2 linked regions of the Anolis sagrei genome follow. The protein of the gene in region 1 binds, or shares a complex with, the protein of each later gene. Links are inferred from orthologs where the notes say so. Each region holds a gene or a part of one and is shown on either strand. Other genes may lie near its edges. The genes, in order: BCAS2 and CTNNBL1.

Region 1 (15,637 bases):
ACATCAAAATGACACAATTAGAAAATTTGAGCTTTGATTAAAATATTCTTTACTGGCCATCATATCTTTTCATAAGGAGCATGTGCAACTGTGTTGTTTATAGTAGTTAATATAAAATCAGAACACATAATTGCAGTGACAGAAGAACAACAAAACTGCTGCACTTCCTGTCCATGATTCCTAACTGGCTAGCAATGTAAAGAAAAAAAAAGAAACTGCGGTGACATACACATCTTGGCAACTTCTTCCATTGGTAGGATCATCAGCTGAGGAGTCAGATGCATGAGCTCCTGACCCACCAAAATCAATTTCATTACATTACACAATATGTTGAATAAGTATAGTCTATTAGTAGTTGTTGACTATTTCACAAGGCCATGGTTATTGCTCCAATGTAACTTGAGAATTCTTCCCAGCATGGTTGCAGAATACTGCAGCATGCCATCAAAAATGTTCACCATTATAGTGACATTTGAAGATCAAGCACACAAAATTGTACACAACCAGTCTCCACACTCTGCTTCAAGTATCACTGCCCTGTTATCAGTGTATGCAGCAGCTATCATGTCAAGATGGTATGAAAACAGACTCCCAAACTATCCCACATTCTAGGAACCAAACAGATGTTCCTCATGTGTTAAGTAAAGATGCATGAAGTAGCCCATCACATTATGCCATTGTGTAGATATATTAACTGCTTTGTATATGACCTGGAATAAACATTTTTGCTCTTTCCATGCATACATGTATTAAAATGCACACACTTGCATTTGATTTAAATTTCCAGACCAAAAAGCCAATATAAAACACTAACGTATTCACCTTTTGAATATCACTTTGTCATTGTCCTGTGTCAGCTACACTTGCAATATAATCTTTATCATTAATTACTTTAAGTTTATAACAATATTTCTTTTCCATGGTAGCATGATGTATTTACTCATAAACATCATTGAAAAGTGTTTATTTTCAAATATCTCAAAAAACATACAGACAAACCCTATAAAAAAGCACAACTCCCATCCCAAAGTTCATGCCATAAATCTGGGAACTGAACAAGAAAGTCTCATCCTCGTAATCAGTTTGTTCTACAGCAAAAGGCATGAATAGGCTTTAGACAGTTTTTTATGTTTGGCAGCATAAGGCCAAGGCGAGTCTCAGAAGTCCTGTTGGATGTTTTCTTTGTTGGCTTCCCCATGTTGCTGCTTAATTTGAGAAATTTCATTTTCCAGCTGCACAATAGTTCGTTCAATCTCATAGTTTTTACTGACAAGAGACACCCAACTGGAGGGAAAACACAGAAAAATATACTTAAATCACTGTTTCCTTAAAGTTATGCCATTAACAAGAACATCAGATGGTAGTAAATGGGATGCTAAAAAGATTCTTAATAGGGAGGGAAATGGATAGGATGGAAAAGAGGGCGACAACTAGAGGGGAACAAAACCAAGGCAGATGTTTAACATAAATATATATGTACAGAAAGGAAGATGAGAAAAGACAGGACGAGATGGTTTCAAAATTATTATAAAATCAGTAATGAGCAGAAGTGGAAAGCCATGCAAAGCAGGTGAATGCAAAAACTGATACCTTATCACTGTTTTTCATTCTCATGCTAAAGACCCATTTATCTGCCTGACCTTTGTTGCAGATGTCGTTCTGTTTCTCACAAAATTTGTTTTTAATGTAAACGTGATTACTCATGATTTAAACCAGAAAAAAGGTTTATCACTAGATTATATAGGGCACAGCAGACCAGTGTATAATCCAGTATTTCTCATTAGGCCACATGGACATATTTAAACACACATATGATGCCTGTAATTGCAACTGTTTGGGGTAAGAGCACAAGATGTGCTTCTTGGTACACTCCAATGTGGTACACTCTATGTGTTAGCTCAAGCTAACGTAACTCTGCTTTGTTACTATAGGAAGAATGATATGAGGTATTTTAAAGAAATCTTTTCTGAAGAACTCACAAACTTTCAGCTATGATAGATTTAAAAATATATATTCCTTGAACTTCCTTTTCGCAGTCTGTAGAAACAGCACTGCTTTTCTAAACTCTCTCTCTCTCTCTCTCATATCTATAGATAGATAGATAGATATATTCTATGATAACACACATAAGGATCAGTTCTGCAATGGCACTGTCTTCAATCACAAAACAAAGTACACAAGTCAAGGAATTAGTCTTGCTGCTTCTCAACTGAGTAACACAGATATGTTTATTGAGGAGCTTCTAGAGACAGAAAAAATTGCACTGTTAAGTTCTATCTACTTACGTTGACTCCATCTCCCGAAGTTTAGCACCTGCTGTGAGCTGCATGTTCTTCCGCTGCCAGTTAAGGTCCTGAATGTGTTTTCTGGAAGAAAAATACAATTAAGAAAACCACTGCTAGAAAGTGTACATTCAGGACCCTTCCAGTTTGCCACCTTGACCAATCCCCACACCCAAAGCCATGCTGAAAACCAGTATATTTTGAAAACTAATGAGCAAATTAGAACAATTTGATTTAATTAGATCTAAATGAATGTCTAAGTTTGGTAATACACCTAAGCTAGGGTTAATGAGATTCTAGCCAGTAGAAGTCCAGAATCTGACCTGCACCTACTAGCAGGTTTAGTACATGTCGCAATAAACCAGATAGGAGAACTGTAATTCAGCAACTTCTGGAAAGGTGCAAAATGTGAATACAAAAATATAGAATTCAAGATATATATAGACTGTTCTTTCCCCCACCTCTCTATATATATCTAGCAAAACTGATATACATTGAAATCCTAATTATTCCAAGTCAGACAGAAAAGGCTGAACTTACCTCAAACTCTGTAGCTCTTTCTGTGCTTGTTCAATCATATGAACTAAATGTCTGCAAAATAAAGATTACATAAAATAAATATTTAATAACAAAGAAGTAAAGTAGGCCACTGATGCTAGTCAACCAAAATCAGATTTTGAACTCATTTTCCTGTTTACCTTTAACTGAATTGTACTTTTTTGTACATAGAATGAAAAAAAAATCAAATAAATGTAGTACATTTGACACATAGCAGTCATATTTAAGTTTTATTTAGTTTTTCCATTAACTTGTAATAATAGTGTTCCTTTAACATAATGTCAAATAAACAAACCATTTTATATAGGTGAAAGACAGTAATCACAAAAGCATTATTATAATGCAAAATAACTAGCATTTTTTAAATTCCTTTCTTCTCAACCCCCCCCCCCCAAAACTGGATTTGTGTTCTCACAAATGTTTGTTGAATCTTCCCAGTTTAAACGTGAATTTAATGAATTTAATTTTAAAAATCAGCAACAAGATACTTATTCTTGACTTGAAATATGAGTTTCTAACAAATAAGTTCCAGTCTCAATAACTAAAATGTGTCACACCTTCCATTATACAGCCATGAGAGTACTATATATAAAATGACCCCCTACTGTGGTTTATTATTTTCCAAACTGGCAGCTCATCATAATCATATTGGGGTGTAGAAAAGGCAGCAACGATAATACAGAGAACTGGAAACAATTATAAATCTGGCATGGGAGTCATGTAACTCTCCAAAAACTTTAGGATTTCACACCTTTTGACTATCAATTTGGAAGGTAAATGTATCAAAGGCAGCTGTGGTATATTTGCCTTCCAAAGCTTTTCAAGCAACTCCTGGAGACCATGAAAAACTTACTCATTATATACTTTCCAGGCATTGCAGCCATACTGAGACATCAACTCCAAATTCTCAATTCGAACTGCCTGGTGTTCCAGCTGAGCCATTGAGTTATTAACACATTCTTGCCATGCTGTAATGTCATTCTTCTGCCCAGAAGAGGGTGCAGGCAGTTCATACCTGAAGCCAAAGCAAGAGAAAGACTACTGCCCTCAAACAAAAATGCAAGTATTTGTTTTAACAGATTTGCGACACTAATTCTGATCATGACTCATTTTTATTACAATTTTTTTTACACATTATCAGTTTTGAACAATGCTTTACAAACTAAATATTATTTAAAATTGGAGATTACAGTAACAGACATATGCTTTCCGAATTGCACAAGTATCACTCAAAGCTGACTGTCTTCAACATAACAATCCTTAAGGCACAAAACTTTAGATCTATCCTCTTATTTCAGTAGAGTAGACTGACATCATGAGGCCAGAACTGGAATGCCGCTTTTAAAATATTGTTTCCCAAAGTCTCAGTCTCTATACCCAAGCCTCAGTCTCTATACCAGTGGTTCTCAACCTGGGGTCCCCAGATGTTTTTGGCCTTCAACTCCCAGAAATCCTAAGAGCTGGTAAACTGGCTGCGATTTCTGGGGACCCCAGGTTGAGAACCACTGCTCTATACCCAACATGTTGCCTTAGCATGGATGGTGCACTTTACTTCAGAATTTAACACTTACCTCTTCATACTCAGCAGTTCTATGGGTTGCCGGGCTGCAAGACGCTCAAACTCATTCCGCATTATTTCAGTCTATGAATCAAATTTACAGGATATAGCTGAGACCAGGAAGATATTGCATGGAGATTGTAATTATGACTGCTTGTGAAAAACTTTTGACAATTCTAATTTAAATGCATACATGGACATGAACAATGGCAAAACACTATTTTATCAACCATAGCTACTACTTAAAGTAGGAGAGACCCTTGGTGTACCTTCCTATAGATTCCTGACATAGTTTCAAATGATCCAAAGACTGAAATGCTTTTGGCCTTTATCCAGATAATGGAACAGTACCCAGAAGTTTTTCAAGAGGTGTTTTTTTTGGTTTTTTTTTTTGCATCTCCATACATACATTATGGATACTCTTTCCATTAGAAGACGGTTTGGGACCCACCTACCTTTGTGACTGCATCTCCTACCACAAACCTGCACGATCTCTTCGATCTTCTGGAGAGGCCCTTCTTTTGCCTCTTCCTTTATCGCAGGCTCGACTTGTGGGAACAAGGGAGAGGGCCTTCTCCGCTGTGGCCCCACACTTCTGGAACTCGCTACCTGGGGAGATCAGGCAAGCCCCTACCCTAGCAGCCTTCAAGAAACATCTAAAAACTTGGCTCTTCCAATGTGCCTTCAGAGAGTGACCATTCAACCCATTTGTTTGTTTCCGCCTACAGTTGTCCTCATGATAAAGCACCTTCCCCTGTCCTTTATAGAGGCCAAAACTCCACTGCTCCTCCTTCTTGGGCTCCTTTCTCACAAATACACTTTTTTATTTCTATCTCACCCAGGGTTTTAATTTTTTAACATTTTATCTCATACATCTGGCCCGCCCTTTGTATTTGATTTTACTATGCTATTTTATACTATTTATTTTATTTGTTGTTTTATATATTTTGTTGTAATGTATTTCTCTGTTGTTTTGTGTCTATTTAGGTTGTATTATTTTTGGGCTTGGCCTCATGTTAGCCGCCCTGAGCCCCCTTTAGGGAGATGGTGGCAGGTTATAAATAAAGTTTATTATTATTTATTATCATCATTTGACATTGGTGGCTTTTATATTAGTCAAGTCATGCAGTTTATTACCCTAAAAGTGCCCATTTAAACCTCTGAATTTTCTTACTTTATTATTATAAGACATTTAAGTATTTCATTGAAAGGAAATATTACATCACAAATAAAATCCTTCATTGTCTCAGCAGATGGTTCCTAAAAGGCTTATGCCACAATACTTCACTTCACCTTATTTCTTAATTAGTCACTCTCCACCAAGGTGCTCCGAGCGACTTACAATCTAAAATAGCATTTATACAATATAAAAACATTCAACATAAAAACATTCACTTGTTTCTAAATTGTGTTCGTTTAGGAAATGCAAACGGGGTGAAAATAAATGTAACAACAACAAGGTGCTTAAAGAACCTTTTGGGGAGATGTTTTTTTTCTTTCTTTCTTTCTTTTTTTGCTACCGGGCTCAATTCAAAGTGCTGGTCTTGGCCTATAAAGCCCTAAATGGTTCTGGGCCAACTTACCTGTCCGAATGTATCTCCCCTTATGAACCATCAAGGACCTTGAGATCGTCTGGGGAGGCGCTGCTCTCGGTCCCGCCTTCGTCTCAGATACGTTTGGCGGGGACGAGAGACAGGGCCTTCTCAGCCCCCCCCCCCCCGCTATGGAACGCCCTCCCTAGAGAGATTAGATCTGCTCCCTCCCTCCTCACGTTTCGGAAGCAAGTCGAAACATGCTTGAGCAAGCATTCTCAAACACAGAGTAACGGATATGGATAAATGATATAGGAATGGACCATTGACGATAGAACTGGACAATGCTTGACAATAAGGAGACGCTAATGATGTTGTTTTTATTGTTGTTGTGGTTTATGTAATTGAAATGTTTTAAAATGTTCTATGATACTGTGTATACTGTTTTGTTGGAAAGCTCCTTGAGTCGCTGATAGGCTGAGAAAGGCGGTATACAAATACAGTAAGTAAGTAAATAAATAAATATTTTGTTGTTTTGTGTATCCTTTGTCAAGAGATAAAGCAGGGTATAAATAAACATCGTAGTAATAATATCACACCAATGCCTCCACAATTTCTAAAGAGACACATAGCCTTGCATAGAAGTGGGAATCTTTGGACATCTCCAAAGCAGTGCCTCCCAAACTATTAAGTCTTTTTGATGTTTTGAACTTCAACTCTCAGAAGCCCCTGCTGCCTTGCGACTTGATAAGGTATTCTGGGACCTGAAGTCCAAAACAACAGCTCTCTAAAACAGGCATGGGCAGACTTGGGCCTTCCCTCCAGGTGTTTTGGACTTCAACTCCCACCATTCCTAACAGCCTCAGGCCCTTTCCTTTTTCCCCTCAGCCGCTTAAGCGGCTGAGGGGGGAAAGGAAGGGGCCTGAGGCTGTTAGGAACGATGGGAGTTGAAGTCCAAAACATATGGAGGGAAGGCCCAAGTTTGCCTATTCCTGCCCTACAACAATTAAGAGGTTCTCCTGATCCTTGACGTGAGGGAGGAAGCTGCAAACCGGTCTCCTAGTCAGGCCTTCCTCACCTCAAAAGCGCCGTAGTCAGGCGCCGGCAGGTAACTGAGGTAGTTCTTGGTGGGCCGGTACCGCCGCGTCTCCTCCTCGACCAGAGCCCCGGCCTGCAGAGAGAGACAGAGAGAGAGACAGGAGGGGGTCACCTCCTTGCCCCTTACGCCTCACCCCTCGCCCGCCCACCGGCGCCCCACTCACCGCCTCCCGCACGCCGGTGGCCTCGTAGCCTTGGTCGAAGTAGGGCAGCGCGTCGACGGCCACCTCTCCCGCCACCAGGCCCGGCCCCGACATACTGCTGTGTCTCCTCCTCACGCCGGCGACTCAACTCTCACCGCGCCTGCGCTGTAGCCCGGGCTCTCCACCGCGCCTGCGCAAACGCAGCAACCCGGCGCATGCGCAAAACTCGACAGCCCATTCTTTTTTTTTTCTGAGTTAAGATTTTTATTGGTTTACTAGCCGTCCCCTGCCACACGTTGCTGTGGCCAGTCTTGTGATCTGGGAAATAGAGTAATTAGAAAGTGTTGGTTTCTAATATTTGTAATTTCTTTATGCTTGTGGGTAAACAGTATTTCTTGCTGTATCTTTTGTCAGTGTTGATATGGAGATTGTCTGTTTTGTCGCAACCCCCAATGGGGCTGCAGAGCATTTATAGTAAATGGAATATACATTTTCATTGGTTCCCAAAGACAAATCATTTCATTGGTCTAAGTTAGTTATGCAGTTGTTCATTTGTTTATGATTTTGGTTGACATTATAGCACACGTGGGATCCTAACAATGGCACAACTATAACATAACTATGGTCCATTGTTCTCTGACCATGACTGTATCTTATCTGTTAGTCTATTGCAAACATGGCTTCAGAGAGACTGGGAAACTTGGGGGTTCTAACTAGCTAGCTGGTTTTGTCCGGATATACTGTTATCCTTGAATAGTAACTTCTTCTTTGGAGCGCTGATTTCTCAAACAATCAGCATTTTCTGTGAACATAGGCCTACTGCAGAAATAGGCCAATATGGCAGTAAATCATGACATATGGGCATTGGGATGATCTCTGAAAATTGTCTTTTTAAAACTACGTCCCCTCCAATATCATTGTCCTTCTTTAGGGGTCCATTTCAAATCTATGCTACTATATCTCTGTGTGTGAATCATATTTCTATCTATCTATCTATCTATCTATCTATCTATGGCTGGATGGCTCTTTGTCAGGAGGGTTTTGATTATGTTTTCTTGTCCTGGTGAAGGGACTTGGACTGATTGGACTTAAGTATGGGAGTTCTGTGTGGGAAGGTTGCCCCAGTTCTGTCGTTGGTGGGGTTCAGCATTCTCTTTGATGAACTATAAATCCCAGTAACTACAACTCCCAAATGTGAACGTCGATTTCCCCCCAACTCAATCTGTGTTAATATTTGGGCATATGGAATATCTGTGCTAAGTTTGGTTCAGATACATCATTGTTTGAGTCCACAGTACTCTCTGGATGTAAATGAACTACAGTTCCCAAACTTAAGGTCAATGCCCACCAAACCCTTCTAGTGTTTTCTGTTGGTCATGGGAGTCTTATCTGCCAAAATTGGTTCAATTCCATCATTGGTGGAGTTCAAAATGCTCTTTGATTGTAGCTGAACTATAAATCCCAGCAACTACAACTCCCAAATGACAAACTCAGTTTTTTGGAGTGAAGGACATACATTGGGTTGTTAGGTGTCTTGTGTCCAAATTTGGTGTCAATTCATCCTGTGGTTTTTGAGTTCTGTTAATCCCACAAACGAACATTACATTTTTATTTATATAGATATCATTAATAAGTATCTATATATCACACCAATGCCTCCACAATTTCTAAAGAGACACATAGCCTTGCATAGGAGTGGGAATCCTTGGGCATCTCCAAAGCAGTGCCTCCCAAACTCTTAGTCTTCCTGATGTTTTGAACTTCAACTCCCAGAAGCCCCTGCTGCCTTGCGACTTGATATGGTATTCTGGGAGCTGAAGTCCAAAACAACAGCTCTCTACGACAGGCATGATCATGGAGCCCCCGGGTCATTCTTGTTGCAACAGTGTAGTAACAGTGAAGCTGCGGATCATATTTTAGTCCTTGTGGACCACTGGTGGTCCATGGACCACAGGTTGGGAACCACTGCTGTAAATGGTCAAAGAATGTCTAGACCAGGCATGGGAAAACTTCGGTCCTCCAGGTGTTATGGATTTTGAATCCCACAATTCCTAACAGTCCCAGGCCCTTTCCTCTTCCCCCGAGGGGAAAGGGCCTGAGACTGTTAGAAATTGTGGAAATCAAAGTCCAAAACACCTGGAGGGCCAAAGTTTGCTCTTTCCTGGTCTAGAATGTCTTTAATTCCATCATTAAGTTAATGTGTTAAAGGTTTTGTATTGCCACTTGTACTGTTTTTAGTGTTGTGAGCCACTTTTGACTCTTGTTAAGAGAAGAAAGCGAAATATAAATAAATATAATTATCACCATCAGCTGACAGGAATGTTATTGTGTTGGAAAATGTAACCTTCTTCAAGCCTCCTCTAGTAATTTGTTTATAATCCTGTTGCTTATCTATTGTATGTATGTTCTGATATGTAGCTTTCTTTCCTTGCTCTGTTTTTCCTGATAAGTTGTGGGAGGGGTTGCAGATCACGTGACCCGCTCTGAGACTTCTTTAGACTTTAGGACTACTCAGATGGCAGACTTGCAAACACTTGCCTGCTGTTTATTATGAGAGAGATGTTCTGACCGGATGACACAAAAACTATCTCAAACGTATCTGTAACTGACTGATACATTGTGTACCTGTGTATGCTGAACACATGAAGGTTATGAGTAAAACAAATATGTTATTTATTTATTTTTACCAAAGTCTTATTTTGTCATTTGAGTACATAATATAAAACATGTTGTTTTATGGGAGAGTAGATATGTTTTTGCATATGAAAAATTCATCTGAAGAACTGCTGTTCTTATGCACTGACATATTCCTAACAACTGAAGCCAATTGCCTTGCATAGTTACATTTGGTTGTATACCACTTGAGAAGATTCTACTGAAACAGGTTTTTTGGCTCTTCTTTAAAAGATCATGATCTCTAAAAGGTTGTGCTTTTCTAAAATAATTGAGCAATAAGGAGTATGTTGTGAAATACTTTTGACAACTGGAGAATGATGGTTATTAACTGTTTGACAGATAGTGGCTGCTGAACAGCAATGTACTAAGAATGCATCCACACTGTAGAATTAATTCAGTTTCGCACCACTTAGACAGCTACAGTGCAATGTTATGGAATCATGAGAGTTGCAATTTTTGACAGAAAGACCTTGGGAGAGAAGATTAAGGACTTTGTAAAACTACAGCTCCCACAATTCCATAGCTGCTGTGGCAGTTAAAATAGTGCCAAACTGCATTAATTCTACAGTGTAGCTGTACCCATAGGGACAGAAACAATCCTCCAGCAGCTTGTTCTGGCCCATTCATTGAGTCACATCTATAAAGTTACAAAGAGCCACTTCAAACAATCCACTTCTGTCATCCAATATCATTCATGAGGCAGGCAACAATATTCTGCACAAACTACAGCTTCCAGATATTAACCGATCACCACCCCTTTAAACATTTACGTTATATTTCCAATGAAGTAATGAAGAGTGGCCCCACTCCTGCTCTGATGGGCCTTTTTGGGAGACCAAAGGTGTAAAGAGCACTGGCTTTCAGGACCAAAAGATACAATGCCATACACAAAAATCCAGTACATTTTATTTGAACCAGTTTCAGAAGGAACGTGGTTTATTACAATTCTGTTACTGTACATTAAAGTTTTGGTTTCATCTGTACACCACAGAATATGGCTTTATCCAGAATGCAGAAAACAGGCTGTATAAAAGACAAAGGAAATACAGAGGAAAAAGACAAAACACTGACCAGAAGGAACATGTTTGTTTGTTTTAAATCAAAAGTGAAGGGAAAATAAGGGCACGAGGAACAGCGTGGCTGGAATTATAAAGATTAGGTTACACATTTCAGGGGCTGAACTGACCCAAGGGAGGACCTGAATAACAGAACCACTAAGGTGCTTCTTCCCGCTCTTCTGATCAAGTGCAAGTGTTCAAGTGCTAATACAAACTTTAAAAACATTGACCCAAGTCTTGCTTTCTTAGTAATCTGTTTATGCAAGAGCAGCGGAAAAACACATTCGAAACAAAACTGCAGTATCAAGCTAGGCCAGTCCATGATTCTGAAACACATAAAATTATTTCCATTTTTTGTTTAGGTCTCACATGCTACAGCATGATGCTATGCACATTTACTCAGAAGATAATTGAGATTGTGGTATTTATTCTTAGCTTAAGGCTAAACTCTTACATAGAAGCACTTGCTTGGGTATAAATCCCACTAGATTTAGACAGCCTTAGTGCTGAGTAAATCTGTACAAGAGTGAGTGGTTTGTTTTGCACAACTATACAAAGAAAGAAAACATTTCCTAAATCTCCTGAAACACCTTCTGCCCCCAAGGTTTTGGCAATTCATTCTGGCTGCAATACTGTAAACACAGGTAGAAGTTCAGACTATATGCATTAACTCCAATAATGGTGAATTATCTCTCATGTCTTCATATCGTGAAAAATGTTTTCTCCTTATGTTCTGCAAGAATTATGCCTAATCTCTATGCAGCACCTTTCAGATCTAGGCAATCTCTCTGTACATCAATTCATCACCCAAACTGAGAGGGCCAATTTGGCTGCACTTTTTGGCATCCAATATATCAGCATATCAAAGCGTCAAAACAATTCCTCTTCTATGAACAATTTTGTACTCACTCCAAGGCTGAACAACAGTACTGTGCGTTACACCTGAGTCCATTTGTTACATGTAAACATACAATGACGATCCACTGAAGGTCAAATCCACAGAAGCAACCGGAGTAAGTCCAACAAGAATAATGATGCCATGCATTGTATTTGAGTAAATGCATGGAGTGGTTATTTGCCATTTTAAAACAGTTATTTTATATGGTGTGCAAATCACAAGAACAACTGAAGGGGGCTGTGTTGGTTTGCTTCCTATAATAGTGGCGACAAAAGCTTGTAATATTAGGCAAAGGTTTAGATGAAGAACATATTGTAGTGGATGTTCAGCTATGATAAATCAGTGGTACAATGCACCCAGGAAGTTTTTCTAACCCATTCAGGTTTCACAGCAAACTGGAACTATAAGAAACTCATTTTTTTACAAACTTTCTGCATTAAACAATGAGCTCATTTACATTCTGTATTTTTTAAAAAACATATTGATGGTCCCAGTTGGGATCAAATTGCATTCTCCTGACAGAGGGTATGTCCCTTAACGTAGTAGAGATGATCTTGTAAAAAAGTCAGAGAACACGTATATTCGAAACAGATAACACAGACTAAGTTTTATAGTATAAAAAAGGAGGACAAACAAAGAATTTTGTTATTTTGTTTTCTCTATCTACAAAATATACAGCTTTGCAACACATCACTAGAAGAAGTAATGAAACAGATAATGGCACAAACTAGGCCAATGGCAGAGTGACCTTTACAGGGCTACTTTTGCAGATGAGGACGGAAGAACATCTTCAACAGGTTTGCCTTTCCAGTTTAAGGGAACATTTTCTTGTGAAAAGAATATCCATAGGGCTATGTGACAGCTGTGGGAAAATGTCATATTTCTAGGCACATTCTTCTTTTTTTACTGGTATCAACTTAGTCCTTAAATCACTCAAACAATGGGTGACCTGAGAAAGTCTTTAGGCCAAGCAGCATAAACAAAGACACCGTTCACAGAGTTAACCAAGTTCCTCATTACAGACCAGTTTTACAACTAGAAGCCCAGTTTCTCCCAGTAATACTCCAGCAGGACCAGGCAAAGTAAAGATCAGTAATTCCACCCAGATCTGGTGCACTTTTTTTTCCAGTCGCTTGAAGCTCATCTTGAGCTGCTTCCCAGAAATCCGATCTGACACCACAATGACAGGCAATGAGATACCCCTTGTCATTGCGGATTGGGAACTGAAATCCATGCTTAGCAGAAATTCTGCAGTGAACTTCTTACTTCTTTTGCAGAAACTTCATTTTGTTACCTAAAAATATATAAAATATAGATTTACAAGGTTGACTACATGTTTAATCTTTGCCTTGTTGCCACTTGCACATTATAGAAATACATTTTAATACGTGTATTTATAGAATCTTTACAATAATAATGTATCTTAGCCTGACTTACCCAGACTACGAAGGATTTTATTCATCCCACTTGGCTCAGACTCTGGAATGGTTTCCAAATATTCAAAAGCACGGACCTCAAACAACCCTGCAAAAAGAAAAGCATCACTTAGAAACACACTATATTTCTTTAGTCTGAATTATGTTCATACACATACACTACACAAAAAGGACTTCTGTAAAACAACAGCATGAATCATGGAATTATGCAGCATAAAGTGTGCCAATTATACACAGGCTTCAAGATGCAAATACCATCCTTGTGCATATATATCTATATATCTGATAACAGATATCTGCACATTTTGTAACATATGTTTGTGCAATCCTGAATTTATTGTAACATATGTTTGTTATTTCCACACCAAGAAGGAAAAGAAAGGACTTCTTTCCATCATTCTGATATGTATTTACTTAGCTGAGATTAAAAAAAAAAACCTATAAATTATGTTAATGTGCATAGATATGTAAAACTTTACACAGATTATCTACAATGAAACTCTGAAACAACATTTGTAGACATTTGCTGTGCGGCTAAAGACATGTTAAAAGAAAATAAGGCACCTTTTTTCCTCATGCCTGGAGCAACTTGAGAAACTGCAAGTTGCTTCTGGTGTTAGTGAATTGGCCGTGTGCAAGGACGTTGCCCAGGGGTCGACCGGATGTTTTACCATCCTGTGGGAGGCTTCTCTCCTATCCCCACATGAGAAGTTGGAGCTGACAGATGGAAGCTCACCCTGTTCCCCGGATTCGAACCACCGACCTTTTGGTCAGCAGTCCTGTCAGCACAGGAGTTTAACCCATTGTGCTACTAGGGGCTCCTAATAAGGCAACTGAGGCACCTCAAAGAAGTGAATATTCTACTCAGTAATTCAACTTTTTCCCAAGACAAGTTCATTAAAAATGTTTTTGGTGGTGCTGGCAATGAACTACCAATGTTGTCACGAGTGTATAAAGGTTCCCAACAAATTGTACTGGAGTACCTTTCAGAGGACGTTCTATAAGCATAAAGGCATTTGGGTTTTATACGATTTTTAATTTCCCACGGAGAGAAATGTAAAGCTGAGTTTGGTAGATCTCACCTTTAACGGCACTTTTCCGGAGCTCTCTGTCCTGTATGAAACCAGCAAACATTTGTGTTTCCATGAAAATTTCAAGGAAATGGCGCACATTGCGAGAGGTGTGGGATTTCCGGAAGGGTTCCCGCTGGAATACCCGCTCCCCTTTCTCAGTGACATGCATGTGCAAGGAGTAGTGCCCCACAATCTCCACGAAGAAGCGAACAAAGGCCTCAGATACAAGAGAGTCCAGAGTCACATCACCTATTAGAAAATAACAGAAAAGAATCACATCTCTCTTCTAGAAAGACAACAACCTCTACTCCTTCCCCATTAGTTACAAAACCTACAGAACCTGATCTCTGGGTCACAGCCTGCATATCTGACTACCAAAATAATGACATCAGCAGTCATAGTTGATAAAATAATTGCATCCAAACACCAAATAAAGTACAGACACTTAACCAACATAAACACTGCATGCTGTGCAGGAGAAAGGATGTCTAGAAGCACAGGAAACTACTCCTCTTTTGTAAAGCAACACCACAGTGGGCCTCATTATTCCTATGGGGGTCTGATTCCAGACACCAAAAGTGCAGATGATCACATCCCATATTCTTGAATGGCAACATTTCAAGCAATTTTAATTTTAATTTATTTATTTACAGTATTTATATACTGCTTTTCTCACCCCTAGGGGGACTCAAAGCGGTTTTCAGACCATTAAGAAGGCTTGCGTACTTTAGTTTAAGAATTATTTTTTTTAATGTTTTAAATAAACATTTCCAAGCGCCCCCCCCCCCCCCCCCCCAAATGGGGAAAGTCAGAGGAAGAAAGAAGGATAAAGAAGGTGGAGGTAATGGGGTTATTGTTAGTGAATTAAGTCTTTACAACTATCTAGTGTGGCATAGAGAGAGGGAGGGGGTCAGAAGGAGGGGGAATACTGTACAAAGTTAAAATTGATACATCTAATTCTTCATATCAGTTACAATTTCACACATTCTTCAAAATATTAAAAATTCTATATATTCTCTACAACAGAGGACAAATATTGTCCTCTAACTTTAAGCCCGGTCTTTTTATCTTCTTGTATTGTCCTATGTTCTTCTTGTCTTCTCTCCCAGCTCTTCACCACTAAATCTTTTATTTAATTTTAGTTATTACTGAATAAATCTAACAGTTTAATTTGATCTGTTAGTAAGGCAGTATTGTATAGGAAAACATTTACTATATTTCACTATTATCTTCTCTTTCCTTTTTAAGCATTACACAAATTTTATATATTTCTATATAGACAATCTAAATCTCAGTGGGAGGTACTAATACATCAATCATCTAAA
Region 2 (15,222 bases), about 42 Mb from region 1:
AGCACTGAGTCCAAGAGGACCCCCAAACTGCAGACCTATGTCTTAAGGGGGAGTGTAATCCTGTCAAACACAGGTTGCCACCCTATACCCCGTTCGGCCAAGCGACTGACCTGGAGGACCTCTGTCTTGTCAGGATTCAATTTCAGCTTGTTAGCCCTCATCCAGCCCATCACAGCAGCCAGGCAGAGGTCCAGGACCTGAGGGGCTTCCTTGGATTTTGGTGGAAAGGAGTAATAGAGTTGTGTGTCATCTGCGTAAAGATGGCAACAAACTCCAAAATTCCGGTTGACCTCACCCAGTGGTTTCATGTAGATATTGAAAAGCATAGGGGAAAGAATAAAACCTTGCGAGACTCCAAAGGTCAAAGGCCAGGGGTCCAAGCAGGTATCCCCCAGTTTCACCAACTGGGTATGGCCCTCCAGAAAGGAATGGAGCCACTGCAATGCAGTACCTCCAAGACCCATTTCGGAGAGCCACCCCAGAAGGATACCATGATTGATGGTATCAAAAGCCGCTAAGATGTCCAGGAGAACCAACAAGGACACACTCTCACTGTCAAGTTCTCTGCTGAGGTCATCCACTAAGGCGACCAAAGCCTTCTCGGTACCGTGACCAGGCTTGAAAAGAGACTGCGATGGATCCAGAAAAAGGGAGGGAAGGTTAGTCACAGCAACGCGTGATGGGTACAGCTAGTAGTGTAATAAATCAACATTTGCAAAGGCTACTAAATAGGCTGATTTCCCAGTTTGTGGAGTACAGATGAAGTGATTTCTGCATAGTCCGCTGTAATCACTGCAGGTTATTGCTAACAGATTTCTGCAAATGGATGGTGCTCAGGAGCCTTTTACTGTTACCAATTTTTTGTATCCCCAGCACTGAGCTAAGAAGACCCTATTTGGGGTTGGGACCTACAGTTTAAGAAGTAGTGCACTAAACCACTCATTTCCCAGCCTACCAATCACATTTCACTGGAGTACAAGTGAGCAAAAGGTGCAAAACCTAACCTACATATTTTGCTACTCCTGACATTGGAGATTTGAATAGACACCATCATCATTACAGGACCTTAGAGTTAGAAGAAACCCCAAAGGCCACCCAGTCCAAACCCATTCTACCATACAGGCAAATACAACTAGAACACTTACAGCAGATGCTTAACACACATACAGAGAGAGAAAGAGACTCCACTGGACTCCAGAGCAGCAACCTAATCCACTGCCACTCTACCTGTCAGGAATGTTTTCCTAATATCTTTTTCTGCAATTCCAATTCAATTCAAATTTCTGAACAGCCTCTGGCTCCTCCATGATGACAACAGCCTTGAACAGCAATGGCTCCCAAAGTGACCCATTTAAGGTGGAATCAGATGTCAAACAGGGATGTGTTATTGCCCCAACTTTATTTTCCATTTTCATTGTTATGATATTGCACCTTGTTGATGGGAAGCTTCCCAGCGGAGTGGAAATCATCTATCGGACAGATGGCAAGCTGTTTAACCTCAGCAGGCTGAAAGCCAAACCAAGGTTACAACAACATCTGTTATAGAACTCCAGTATGCTGATGACAATGTTGTCTGTGCGCATTCAGAAGAAGATCTACAAGCCACTCTAAACACCTTTGCGGAAGCATACGAGAAGCTCGGCCTGTCATTTAACATCAAGAAAACCAAAGTGCTCTTCCAGCAGTCACCGGCCAATCCCTCTCCAATGCCAGAAAAACAGCTTAATGGTGTCACATTAGAAAATGTTGACCATTTCCGCTACCTTGGCAGCCACCTCTCCACCAAATTCAACATTGACACTGAAATGCAACCCCGCCAGAGCTCTGCGAGTGCAGCATTTTCCCGAATGAAGCAGAGAGTGTTTGAGGACCGGGACATCCGTAGGGATACCAAGGTGCTTGTCTATAACACTATTGTCCTCCTAATCCTGCTATACGCCTGTGAGACATGGACAGTGGGAGAAGGTGCAGATCAAGAATCTGGCTCCACAGTCACCTACGGACCCACCGCCAGAATACTACACTTGGAGGACCATCATCCTTGGCATGTTTAGCCTGAAGAAGAGAAGGCTGAGAGGAGACATGATGAGAGCCATGTATAAATATGTGAGAGGAAGCCACAGGGAGGAGGAGCAAGCTTCCTTTCTGCTTCCCTGGAGACTAGGACGCAATGGAACAATGGCTTCAAACTACAAGAAAAGAGATTCCATCTGAACATGAGGAAGAACTTCCTGACTATGAGAGCCATTCAGCAGTGGAACCATCTGCCCCGGAGTGTGGTGGAGGCTCCTTCTTTGGAAGCTTTTAAGCAGAAGCTTGATGGCCATCTGTCAGGGGTGCTTTGAATGCAATTTTCCTGCTTCTTGGCAGAATGGGTTTGGACTGGGTGGCCCATGAGGTCTTTTCCAACTCTATTATTCTATGATTCTATGCTCATTGGAGGGAAGATTAGTAGAGGCAAAGATGGAAGTACTTTGGCCACATCATGAGAAGAAAGGAAAGCTTAGAGAAGACAATGATGCTGAGAAGAATGGAAAGGAAAAGGAAAAGGGGCTGGCCAAGGGCAAGGTGGGTGGATGGCATCCTTGAAGGGACTGGCTTGGCATTGAAGGAGCTGGGGGTGGTGATGGCTGACAGGGAGCTCTGGCCTTGGCTGGTCCATGAGGTCACGAAGAGTTGGAAACAACTGAATGAATAATAATAATTTTTAAAAGACCTTTATTTGTACCCCGCTACCATCTCCCTGGGGAAATTAGATCAGCGACATCCCTCCTTTCCTTTAGAAGGAAATTAAAAACATGGATTTGGGACCATGCGTTTGGACAATCTGGCAGATGAATAAAGGACTACGACGACTGATAGGAATAGATAATGTAGAACGAAATATGGACTCTGAGTTGGCGAACGCTGAGCTTGGGATTGGTTTATTGACTGTGATATATATTGATTGTTTTAACTGTCTTAATTGTTTTAATTGCTGTTTTACACGTTTATTTGTATTATTGTGTAGGAATCGAATTGTGCCTTTTTGTAAGCCGCTCTGAGTCCCCCCTCGGGGGTTGAGAAGGGCGGGGTAGAAGTACACGAAATAAATAATAAGTCTCCCCAAGGGTTGTACTGGTCCATTTAGTTATATATATATAGATAGATAGATAGATAGATAGATAGATAGATAGATAGATAGATAGATAAAGCCCGACTGCTCACTGGAGGGAAGGAGAGTAGAGACAAAGTGGAAGTCCTTTGGCCACATCATGAGGAGACAGCAAAGCCTAGAGAAGACAATGATGCTGGGGAAAGTGGAAGGCAAAAGGAAGAGGGGCCGACCAAGGGCAAGGTGGATGGATGGCATCCTTGAAGTCACTGGACTGACCCTGAAGGAGCTGGGGGTGGTGACAGACGGCAAGGAGCTCTGGTGTGGGCTGGTTCATGAGGTCACGAAGAGTCGGAGACGACTGAACGAATGAACAACAACAACAACTCCCCAAGGGACTCTGTGCGGCTTACATGAGGCTGAGCTCACAATACATCACCAAAAAACAACAACAGCAGTAATACAAAACAATAAAATAAAGCTCATAAACAAAAAAAATAGGCAGTAAACATCGACAATAACACAATAACATTTAAAAACCAATGGCTGGGCCAAATGTAGTAGTTAAAATTTTAAAAATAATGAACAACAACAACAGATCATAGAATCCTAGACCTCATGGGCCCTCCAGTCCAACCCCATTCTGCCAAGAAGCAGGGATATTGCATTCAAATCCCCCCTGACAGATGGCCACCCAGCCTTGTTGCTACTAAGAGATTGCAACGTACTTTATCTAAGTTGTTGTAAGGATCAATGTTGTTTGTGCTATAACTTTAAGTTGTTTTAAGGTTCAAGGCTGTTTGTGCTACAGCTGTTTCAGTTGATTGAAGAGTTAATTGAGAGTGTTATTTTCATGTGTATAAAGATAGCTACTGTGTGTTTAGTTCTTTGCCATTGTGCCTTTATGCTATTGTGCATCTATGCCTCTGTGCCGTTCTGCTTTGTGTAAGCCGGGGACTATGCTGCAGATGTCCTGCGAAGACACAGCCATGAGAAGAGGACAAGGATTCCTGCTTATCCCAGCTGAGTAGTGATATCTCTCAGAAGATATTGTTTCATGTTACTTTTGTGGAAACAGGAATCCTGCTACTTTGTTTTTGTATGCTGCCAATACTACAATATTTTCTTTTCTACTTTAAGCCGAAGTCTCGTGTGTTTTTCTTTTATGAGTAATTTCATCACACACACAGTTAACTGGGCTAGAGTCAATCTGCATGCTACTCATGCTAACGCAAGACAAGCCTCTGTTTCAAAGCTTCCAAAGGAGGAGCCTCCACCACACTCCGGGGCAGAGAGTTCCACTGCTGAACGGCTCTCACAGTCAGTTCTTCCTCATGTGCGCCAGCTGCGCCCATACCTCGGGAAGTCTGACTTGGCCACGGTGGTACACGCTCTGGTCACATCCCACCTTGACTACTGCAACGCTCTCTACGTGGGGCTGCCCTTGAAGAAGGCCCGGAAGCTTCAGCTAGTCCAGCACGCGGCAGCCATGTTACTAACAGGAGCGGGACGCAGGGAGCATACTACGCCCTTGTTGTTCCAGCTCCACTGGCTGCCGATCTGCTACCGGGCCCAATTTAAGGTGCTGGTGTTATCCTACAAAGCCCTAAACGGTTCTGGCCCAAAATACCTTTCGGACCGCATCTCGGCCTATGAGCCCACGAGGGCCTTGAGATCGTCTGGGGAGGCCCTTCTCTCGATCCCGCCTGCTTCACAGGCACGTTTGGCGGGGACGAGAGAGAGGGCCTTCTCGGTGGTGGCCCCCCGGCTGTGGAACACCCTCCCTGTTGACATCAGACAGGCGCCCTCCCTTATGTCTTTCCGTAAGAGCCTGAAGACATGGCTATTTGAGAAGGCATTTAACTGAGTGCTACATTAATTGGTAATGACAACTGGAACGGAATATGGATTACGAGATTGGTTATGATTCTATGATGAGACGGAGCGGATTATTTTAGTGTAATTATATTATTGTGTATTAGTGATATGTTGATTTTTCGTTATTGCTTTATTGTAAATTGTCTTTTATATGTTGTACACCGCCGTGAGTCGCCCTAGGGCTGAGAACGGCGGTTAACAAATGCAGCAAATTTTATTTGTCGTGTCAGAACAACCAGTCTAACAGAACAAAGCAAACAAACAGAAAAATACACAACTTGTGAGTTTGGTAGCTGGTTAAATGTCCTTTGACCAGTATCTGGCCACTTGGAGTGCTTCCGGTGTTGCTGCAAGAAGGTCCTCCATTGTGCATGTGGCAGGGCTCAGGTTGCATTGCAGCAGGTGGTCAGTGGTTTGTTCTTCTCCACACTCGCATGTCGAGGATTCTACTTTGTAGCCCCATTTCTGAAGGTTGGCTCTGCATCTCGTGGTGCCAGAGCGCAGTCTGTTCAATGCCTTCCAAGTCGCCCAGTCTTCTGTGTGCCCAGGAGGGAGTCTCTCATTTGGTATCAGCCATTGGTTGAGGTGCTGGGTTTGAGCCTGCCATTTTTGGACTCTCGCTTGCTGGGGTGTTCCAGCGAGTGTCTCTGTAGATCTTAGAAAACTATGTCTAGATCTAAGTCGTTGGCGTGCTGGCTGATACCCAAACAGGGGATGAGCTGGAGATGTCTCTGCCTTGGTCCTTTCACTATTGGCTGCTACTTCCCGGCAGATGTCAGGTGGTGTAATACCGGCTAAGCAGTGTAATTTCTCCAGTGGTGTAGGGCGCAGACACCCCGTGATAACGCGGCATGTCTCATTAAGAGCCACGTCCACTGTTTTAGTGTGGTGAGATGTGTTCCACACTGGGCATGCATACTCAGCAGCAGAGTAGCACAGCGCAAGGGCAGATGTCTTCACTGTGTCTGGTTGTGATCCCCAGGTTGTGCCAGTCAGCTTTCGTATGATATTGTTTCTAGCACCCACTTTTTGCTTGATGTTCAGGCAGTGCTTCTTGTAGGTAAGAGCACGGTCCAAAGTGACTCCCAGGTATTTGGGTGCATAAATAAACATTATTTATTTATTTATGCAGCGAATAAATAAATAAATAATGTTCAGATGAAATCTCCTTTCTTTCATAGAATCACAGAACCCAAGAGTTGGCAGAGACCTCATGGGCCATCCAGTCCATCCTCATTCTGCCAAGAAGGAGGACAATCGCACTCAAAGCCCTGGCTGTAGACACAGAGAGAGCTCATTCATGCTGAAACCCCACATAATCCCACCCTACGATACCAATATGGGGGTCCCACCTGGTAGCTGAGCAGCTCCCCGACGTCCATGCCTTCCCTCTTTCCTTTCTTTTCCTTCCCTGAAGAGAAAAGACACCGAAACAGAGAGAGAAGGAGAGAGAGAAAGAAACAAGCCCGGTGGTGTAAGCTGAGAGACTCCTTGTGCTTCCGGGTGTCGCGAAACGTCGCAAAGCGGCGCCGTAAAGCGAAGGGAAGGCCTTGATTGGCCCGCGCTGCCGTCAAGCGAAGGGCGCGCGCGGGGTGAAGGTTCGACCAGATTCCAGCAGGGGGCCGTAATTCGCCTAGGAGCAGCGCGCGCAGGAAAAGCAAATACGGGAATTTGTGTACAGGGTTAGTCAAAATGAATAGGCCAATTCGGGTACAATTAATATTCTTATTGGCCTATTCATTTTGACTAACCCTGTATTTAAGTTTGTGTATCTAAAATTACAACAGCAAAACAGCAGAGAGGAAACAACCAGGCACATCTTAACACCTCTCAACAAAAGATTCCCCCAGGCTCAGCCAGGCCTTCAAAGGCTAATGAAGGTGGTCAGTTATTTACTTATTTATCTATTTACTGCGCTTATATACCGCAATTCTCAGCCCAAGGGCGACTCATTGCGGTGTACAACATAGAAAAACAGGTGCAAAATACAAAACATAGTGTAAAATAACCCACAATTCCACATTATCAGAAAACATCTCATCAAAATATCAACATTACTACAAAGCCATTCCGAGTCGTCTCATCGTCAATCCCACAATCCGATATCGTTTCCGTTGTTCCATTCCTATGGTCAAATTACCAGTCATTGCACTTCATTCAAATGCCTTCTTAAACAGCCAGGTCTTTAGCTTCCTGTGGAATATCATCAGGGAGGGAGCTAGCCTGATGTCCACGGGAAGGGTGTTCCACAGCCGAGGAGCCACCACCGAGAAGGCCCTATCTCTTGTCCCCGCCAGCCGTGCCTGTGACGCAGGCGGGATCGAGAGCAGGGCCTCCCCGGACGATCTCAAAATCCTCGTGGGCTCATACGCCGAGAGGCGGTCGGATAGGTATCTTGGGCCGGAACCGTTTAGGGCTTTATAGGCCAAAGCCAGCACCTTGAATTGAGCCCGGTAGCAGATCGGCAGCCAGTGGAACTAGTACAGCAGGGGGGTTGTATGCTCCCTGCACCCCGCTCCTGTTAGAATCATGGCTGCCACACATTGGACCAGTTGGAGCTTCCGGGCCATCTTCAAAGGCAACCCCACGTAGAGAGCATTGCAGTAGTCTAAACGGGATGTAACCAGAGCGTGGACTACCGTGGCCAAGTCAGACTTGCAACATTCACACCTAGCTCCAGCAGAGAAGAGTCCTTTGTCCCACCCTGGTCATTCCACAGATATATAAACCCTTTTTCCTAGTTCCCACAGACCTCACTCCCTCTGAGGATGCTTGCCATAGATGCAGGCGAAACGTCAGGAGAGAATGCCTCTAGACCATGGCCCTATAGCCCGAAAAGACCCATAAGAACCTAGTGATTCCATCCATGAAATCCTTCGATTCCGGCCATGAAATCCTTCCCCCTTAAATAATGGCTGCACGTGGCTTTGCTAATTGGCATGAGTTAGATCCATAGGCGAAGTGCAATGCGTGGATAAGGCAGGGAGAGGGTCAGGGTCGGGAAAAGGACCGTTTTCTAGATCTCCACCCCCCCCCCCCCATTTGAAAGCCCTACAAACCATTCTTGGCATAGAGATCTTGCCTGTTAAGGACAATAACCTTTCAAATACAGTGTAACACATTAATTGTAAAGGAAATACAATCTGTACATGGCATTCATTGGCCTTGCAAAGGCATTCGAAACAGTGAACCGCAGCACTCTCTGGACCATGGTCCAAGAAATCAGGTGCCCTAACAAACTTCTAAACATCCTGTGGCTCCTCCATAGAATCATAGAATCAAAGAGTTGGAAGAGACCTCCTGGGCCATCCAGTCCAACCCCATTCTGCCAAGAAGCAGGAATATTGCATTCAAAGCACCCCTGACAGATGGTCATCCAGCCTCTGTTTAAAAGCTTCCAAAGAAGGAGCCTTCACCACACTCCGGGGCAGAGAGTTCCACTGCTGAACGGCTCTCACAGTCAGGAAGTTCTTCCTCATGTTCAAATGGAATCTCCTCTCTTGTAGTGGGAAACCATTGTTCCATTGTGTCCTAGTCTCCAAGGAAGCAGAAAACAAGCTTGCTCCTTCCTCCCTGTGGCTTCCTCTCACATATTTATACATGACTATCATGTCTCCTCTCAGTCTTCTCTTCTTCAGTCTAAACATGCCCAGCTCCTTAAGCCGCTCCTCATAGGGCTTGTTCTCCAGACCCTTGATCATTTGAGTCGCCCTCCTCTGGACACATTCCAGCTTGTCAATATCTCTCTTGAATTGTGGTACTTACTTACTTACTTAGGCGATCCCTCGTTGGACAAGTAAGATGGTCTTCCATTATGGATTTCCTTGTGGGTCCGTATGTGGCTGTGGAGCCCTATTCTTGCTCTGCATCTTCTTCCGCAGTGAGGGCATTGGTTTCCAGGTGGAAGGCGGTCTCGGTCGGGGTTGGCTTGACGTGCCTTCCTCCTGGCACGTTTCTCTCTTTCACCCTCCACTCGTGCCTCCTCAAATTCTGCAGCACTGCTGGTCACAGCTGTCCTCCAGCTGGAGCGCTCAAGGGCCAGGGCTTCCCAGTTCTCAGTGTCTATGCCAGAGTTTTTAAGGTTGGCTTTGAGCCCATCTTTAAATCTCTTTTCCTGTCCACCAATATTCCGTTTTCCGTTCTTAAGTTCGGAGTAGAGCAACTGCTTTGGGAGACGGTGGTCAGGCATCCGGACAATGTGGCCAGCCCAGCGGAGTTTATGTTGGAGGACTATCGCTTCAATGCTGGTGGTCTTTGCTTCTTCCAGCACACTGACGTTTGTCCGCTTGTCTTCCCAGGAGATTTGCAGGATTTTCCGGAGGCAGCGCTGATGGAAACGTTCTGCATGTGACGTCTGTAGACAGTCCACGTCTCACAGGCATATAGCAGGGTTGGGAGGACAATAGCTTTATAAACAAGCACCTTGGTCTCCCTACGGATGTCCCGGTCCTCAAACACTCTCTGCTTCATTCTGGAAAATGCTGCACTTGCAGAGCTCAGGCGGTGTTGTATTTCGGCGTCGATGTTGACTTTGGTGGAGAGATGGCTGCCAAGGTAGCGGAAATGGTCCACGTTTTCTAATGTGTGGTGCCCAGAATTGGACACAATATTCCAGGTAAAGTGGTCTAACCAAGGCAGAATAGAGCATGGGGAGCATGACTTCCCTAGATCTAGACACTATGCTCCTATTAATGCAGGCCAAAATCCCACTGGCTTTTTTCCCACCGCATCACATTCCTGGCTCATGTTTAACTTCCTGTCCACGAGGGCGCCAATATCTTTTCCACACGTACTGCTCTCGAGCCTTGCGTCCCCCATTCTGTATCTTTGCATTTCGTTTTTTCTGCCTAAGTGGAGTATCTTGCATTTGTCTCATCGTTTTAAAGTTGGGCATCCTATCCGCTAGCCTTGTATCTCAATCCAAACCCCACTCTCTTGACTAAACAGAGCAAACCACAGCCTTCCAGATGTTCCTGCATTACAACTCCCATGAGCTGTAATCATGAGGAGTGTTCTGTTGCACGCTAGGCCTGTAAAGAATTTCCTTTAGAACAGGACGTGCAACCTTTGCCCAGCAGGAAGCCAGGGGGCCCCAAAGAGAAGTTCTCAGAGGTTTTCCAACACCAGTGATCTTTAGATGGCTTGTGAAGTATAACAAAGTCTTTTATTAATGAACAATCAAACAGAAAGTTCTCTTGTCTTCAGAAAGATAAACAAATGATTCCAGGCTTTTATGCAACTGGTGACTTCCTAAACTTGCCCACAAAGGAAAGGCAACTGTCTTCAATAACTTCTTCTTTACTTTAAATGGAAAATCCCCTTTTTAACTTCTCCCAGGCTGACTGTAATCTAACCCTTACTGATGTGGGCTCTGCTACCAGGTCGAACTGCTTCTCGAACGCTGAGTGGACCTACCAGTAAAGGCTTAGATGTTCTCCAGCTGGAGTTCTTTGGTCTTTAGGGCTGTTTCCCTGGAAATCTTTGGAGACTCTTAAGACTGCTCTCCCCGGGAAGCTCTTAAGGGTTGAAGCTTTTGTACAGGGGAAGCTTGTACACGTCCTGTACATTAGCTTTTCTTGCTGAGACTAACTAAAATGGCCCCTTTCCCTTCCCAATTGCCCTGAGCAAGGGGTGGGACCAAAACTTAACGATGATGGACAGGTGACTTGCCCTATGACTGTAACCGAAGGAAGCCACCTATCTGCAGAGTCCCTGAAACCTAGGACTGCAAACAAACATTTAATGCAAAGCAAATAAAGTTGGATCTCCCGGTAGAGCCGTACCGGAACAAGGAGTATAGGAGCGAATGCAGTCTGGCACAGCCTTAACTGCCCTGGCTCAATGCTATGGAATGGTGGAAGTTATAGTTTTACAAGCCTTCTCTGCCAAAGCACAGCTCTCATAATTGCAAAGCATTGAGCAATGAAAGTTCTATAATTCTTCATTCTACAGAGTAAATGCACAATGTGAAACTTTTTCTTGAGAAAACTGAAATTCTGACTCCGAGGCTCCGTGTCCCTTTTCGGCGGATGCGTTCAAGAGCAGAGGAAAGTCACATCAGCTATGTTTAGAGTGCGTAATAAATGCATTTCATTTTCAGCCATATATGAAGTAGCGATAAACATAACTCGGATGCGAACGCAAATAGCTACAGAAGGAAAGCTAGTTGCTTGCAAACCCTGAAAAACAGCTTTAATACAAGAGAGAGAGAGACACGGAGGACTCCGGTGCCATTTGCAGCCTCGTTTGCAGCATTGTCTCCATAGGGGTTTGGCTCGAAAGATGGGCCCAGAATTAAAAACATATATAATTTGTTGACAGGCGGCCCCCGCTTGCACCTTGGTCCTTGCGGGGAATCCGGGGACGAAGCAGCCGGGATGAAATTAGCGCAACAAATCTCGGCTGTAAAGGAGAGACGGATGTTATGGGGCGACGGGCATCGCCTGGCATCCTTTTTATGGGGCCGACAGATAAAGGACCAGCTGCGACAGTCGCCGGCGTACAGTTGCTCTGCGGAAACCGCCGCGTTTATTGGGAACATTACAAGGAAATTGGAAGGCTTGCAACCAGTGTTAATAAAGAAGACGTATGGACTCGGCGACAGCTGTCCTAGCTTAATGCAAGCAGAGAATGAACATCCGAGACAAGAGAAAGGGAGACCGTCGGGTGTATCTACACCAGTGTTTCTCAATTTGAGGGTCAGGACCCCTGGAGGGGTCGCGAGGGGGTGTCAGAGGGGTCCCCAAAGACCATCAGAAAACAGTATTTTCTGTTGGTCATGGGGGTTCTGTGTGGGAGGTTTGGCCCAATTCAATCACTGGTAGGGTTTAGAATGCTCTTTGATGGTAGGTGAACGATAAATCCTAGCAACTACAACTCCCAAATGTCAAGGTCTGTTTCCCCCAAACTCCACCAGTGTTTTCATTTGGGCATATTGAGAATTTGTGCCAAGTTTGGTCTATCATTGTTTGAGTCCACAGTGCTCGCTGGATGTAGTTGAACTACAACTCCAAAACTCAAGGTCAATGCCCACCAAACCCTTCCAGTATTTTCTGTTGGTCATGGGAGTTCTGTGTGCCAAGGTTGGTTCAATTCCATCGTTGGTGGAGTTCAAAATGCTCTTTGATTGTAGGTGAACTATGAATCTCAGCAACTACAACTCCCAAATGACAGAATCAATTCCCCATCCAACCACCCAAACCCACCAGTATTCAAATTTGGGTGTATCGGGCATTTGTGCCAAATTTGGTCCAGTGAATGAAACAACATCCTTCATCTCAGATATTACAATTCATAACTGTAGCAAAATTACAGTTATGGAGTCACAATGAAAATGATGTTATGGTTGGGGGGTCACCACAACATGAGGAACTGTATTAACGGGTCGCGGCATTGGGAAGGTTGAGAAACACAGATCTACACTAAATATTTAATGCAGTGTAGCACCACGTTAACTGCCACAACTCAATGCTGCAGTTACAGTTTTGCAACATCTGTAGCCTTCTCTGCCAAAGAAGGCTGGTGCCTCACCAAATTGCAAATCCCAGGTTACCTATCATTGAGCCAAAGTGGGATCAAACTGCATCAATTCGACAATGTAGATGCACCTTAGATCCCACTAAAGTCAGGAGTGGATTCATCACCCCACTGACTCGGAAGCCACCTAACACTTCTTTGACTTGCAATATCATGAAATTAGCATAAGTATATTTTCAGGCAGAGACATCTCCAGCTCATCCCCTGTTTGGGTATCAGCCAGCACGTCAACAACTTAAATCTAGAAATAGTTTTCTAAGATCTACACAGACACTCGCTGGAACACCCCAGCAAGCGAGAGTCCAAAAGTGGCAGGCTCAAACCCAGAACCTCAACCAATGGCCGATACCAAATGAGAGACTCCCTCCTGGGCACACAGAAGCCGGGGCGACTTGGAAGGCGCTGAACAGACTGCGCTCTGGCACCACGAGATGCAGAGCCAACCTCAAGAAATGGGGCCACAAAGTGGAATCCACGACATGCGAGTGTGGAGAAGAGCAAACCACTGACCACCTGCTGCAATGCACCCTGAACCCTACCACATGCACAATGGAGGACCTTCTTATAGTAACACCAGAGGCACTCCAAGTGGTCAGAGACTGGGCAAAGGACATTTAATTAACTTCCAAACTCGCAAATTGTGTATTTTGTCTGTTTGTTTGTTTTGTTCTGTTAGAAATGCAATAAAATAAAATTTTCAGTTCTTCGCTTTTTCTTGGCCAGATGGTGTTCAACTTGAGTAAACGGGTGGAAATATAATTAATTAACGAATTACTTGTCATGCCAGTGGTCCTTCAATTATTATTCCAAGACTCCATAGTGTCCTGAGTTGCACTTCAAAAACAACCTTTAGAACACGTTGAAAGTAAAAAAAAAAAAAAAAGCAGTTGCTCTACTCCGAACTCAAAAACAGAAAACGGAATGTTGGTGGACAGGAAAAGAGATTTAAAGATGGGCTTAAAACCAATTTCAAAAACAGTGGCATAGGCACCGAGAACTGGGAAACTCTGGCCCTTGAGCGCTCTAAATGGAGGTCAGCTGTGACCAGCAGTGCTGTAGAATTTGAAGAGGGACGAATGTAGGGTGAAAGGGAAACCGTCTTGAGTTGCCGATAGGCTGAGAAGGGTGGTATACAAATACAGTAAATAATAAATAAAGGGGGAAACGTGCCAAGAGGAAGGCACATCAAGCCAACCCTGACCGGGACTGCCTTCCATCTGGAAACCGATGTCCTCACTGCGCAAGAACATGCGGGTCAAGAATAGGGCTCTACAGTCACTGTTCTGTCGCGCGCTGGGCCTGTAAAGAATTTCCTTTAGAACAGGACGTGCAACCTTTGCCCAGCAGGAAGCCAGGGGGCCCAAGGAGAAGTTCTCAGAGGTTTTGCAAAGATACAGAATGGGTGACGCCTGGCTCGAGAGCAGTACGTGTGAAAAAGATCTTGGAGTCCTCGTGGACAACAAGTTAAACATGAGCCAGGAATGTGATGTGGCGGCAAAAAAAGACTGCATCAATAGGAGCATAGTGTCTAGATCTAAGGAAGTAATCCTACCCCTCTATTCTGCTTTGGTTAGACCACATCTGGAATATTGTGTCCAATTCTGGGCACCACAATTCAAGAGAGATATTGACAAACTGGAATGTGTCCAGAGGAGAGCGACTAAAATGATAAAAGGTCTGGAGAACAAGCCCTATGAGGAGCGGCTTAGGGAACTGGGCATGTTTAGCCTGAAGAAGAGAAGGCTGAGAGGAGATATGATAGCCATGTATAAATATGTGAGAGGAAGCCACAGGGAGGAGGGAGCAAGCTTGTTTTCTGCTTCCCTGGAGACTAGGGCGCGGAACAATGGCTTCAAACTACAAGAGAGGAGATTCCATCTGAACATTAGGAAGAACTTCCTGACTGTGAGAGCCGTTCAGCAGTGGAACTCTCTGCCCCGGAGTGTGGTGGAGGCTCCTTCTTTGGAAGCTTTTAAGCAGAGGCTGGATGGCCATTTGTCAGGGGTGATTTGAATGCAATATTCCTGCTTCTTGGCAGAATGGGGGTGGACTGGATGGCCCATGAGGTCTCTTCCAACTCTAGGATTCTATGATTCTATGATTCTATGTTTTCCACCACAAATGGTCTTTAGATGGCTTGCGAAGTATAACAAAGTCTTTCAGAAACAATCAAACAGAAACATCTCTTGTCTTCAATAAAGCTAAACAAATGCTTCCAAGCTTTATGCAACTGGTGACTTCCTAATCTTGCCCACGAAGGACAGGCAACTGTCTTCAATAATTTCTTCTTTACTTTAAATGGAAAACCCCCTTTTTAACTTTTCCCAGGCTGACTGTAATCTAACCCTTACTGATGTGGGCTCCGCTACCGGGTCGAACTGCGTCTCGAAGCACCGAGTGGACCTACCAGTAAAGGCTTAGATGTTCTCCAGCTGGAGTTCTTTGGTCTTTATGGCTGTTTCCCTGAAAATCTTTGGAGACTCTTAAGACTGTTTCCCCCCGGAAGGTCATAAGGGTTGAAACTTTTGTACAGGAGAAGCTTGTACATGTCCTGTATATTAGCTTTCCTCACTGAGACTAACTAAAAAATGGCTCCCTTCCCTTCCCAATTGCCCTGAGCAAGGGGCGGAACCAAAACTTAACGATGATGGACAGGTGACTTGCCCTATGACTGCAACCAAAGGAAGCCACCTTTCTGCAGAGTCCCTGAAACC

The links.
Region 2: BCAS2 (region 1) and CTNNBL1 share a complex: the UniProt entries of both Homo sapiens proteins name them as parts of the PRP19-CDC5L splicing complex. The link is inferred for Anolis sagrei from reciprocal best matches to the Homo sapiens genes BCAS2 and CTNNBL1.

The regions. Positions count from the first base shown.
Region 1 is NC_090024.1:203,188,290-203,203,926, forward strand, and holds BCAS2 (pre-mRNA-splicing factor SPF27), read right to left. Parts: upstream 7,337-15,637; 5' UTR 7,286-7,336; coding exon 7,193-7,285; intron 7,102-7,192; coding exon 7,009-7,101; intron 4,483-7,008; coding exon 4,412-4,482; intron 3,856-4,411; coding exon 3,694-3,855; intron 2,874-3,693; coding exon 2,823-2,873; intron 2,367-2,822; coding exon 2,286-2,366; intron 1,285-2,285; coding exon 1,158-1,284; 3' UTR 948-1,157; downstream 1-947. Other genes in the region: DENND2C (DENN domain-containing protein 2C), read right to left, coding at 13,066-13,097, 13,241-13,327, 14,322-14,561. UniProt on the Homo sapiens protein: Required for pre-mRNA splicing as component of the activated spliceosome. Component of the PRP19-CDC5L complex that forms an integral part of the spliceosome and is required for activating pre-mRNA splicing.
Region 2 is NC_090024.1:245,567,516-245,582,737, forward strand, and holds the start of CTNNBL1 (beta-catenin-like protein 1), read right to left. Parts: upstream 6,492-15,222; 5' UTR 6,355-6,491; coding exon 6,325-6,354; intron 1-6,324. UniProt on the Homo sapiens protein: Component of the PRP19-CDC5L complex that forms an integral part of the spliceosome and is required for activating pre-mRNA splicing.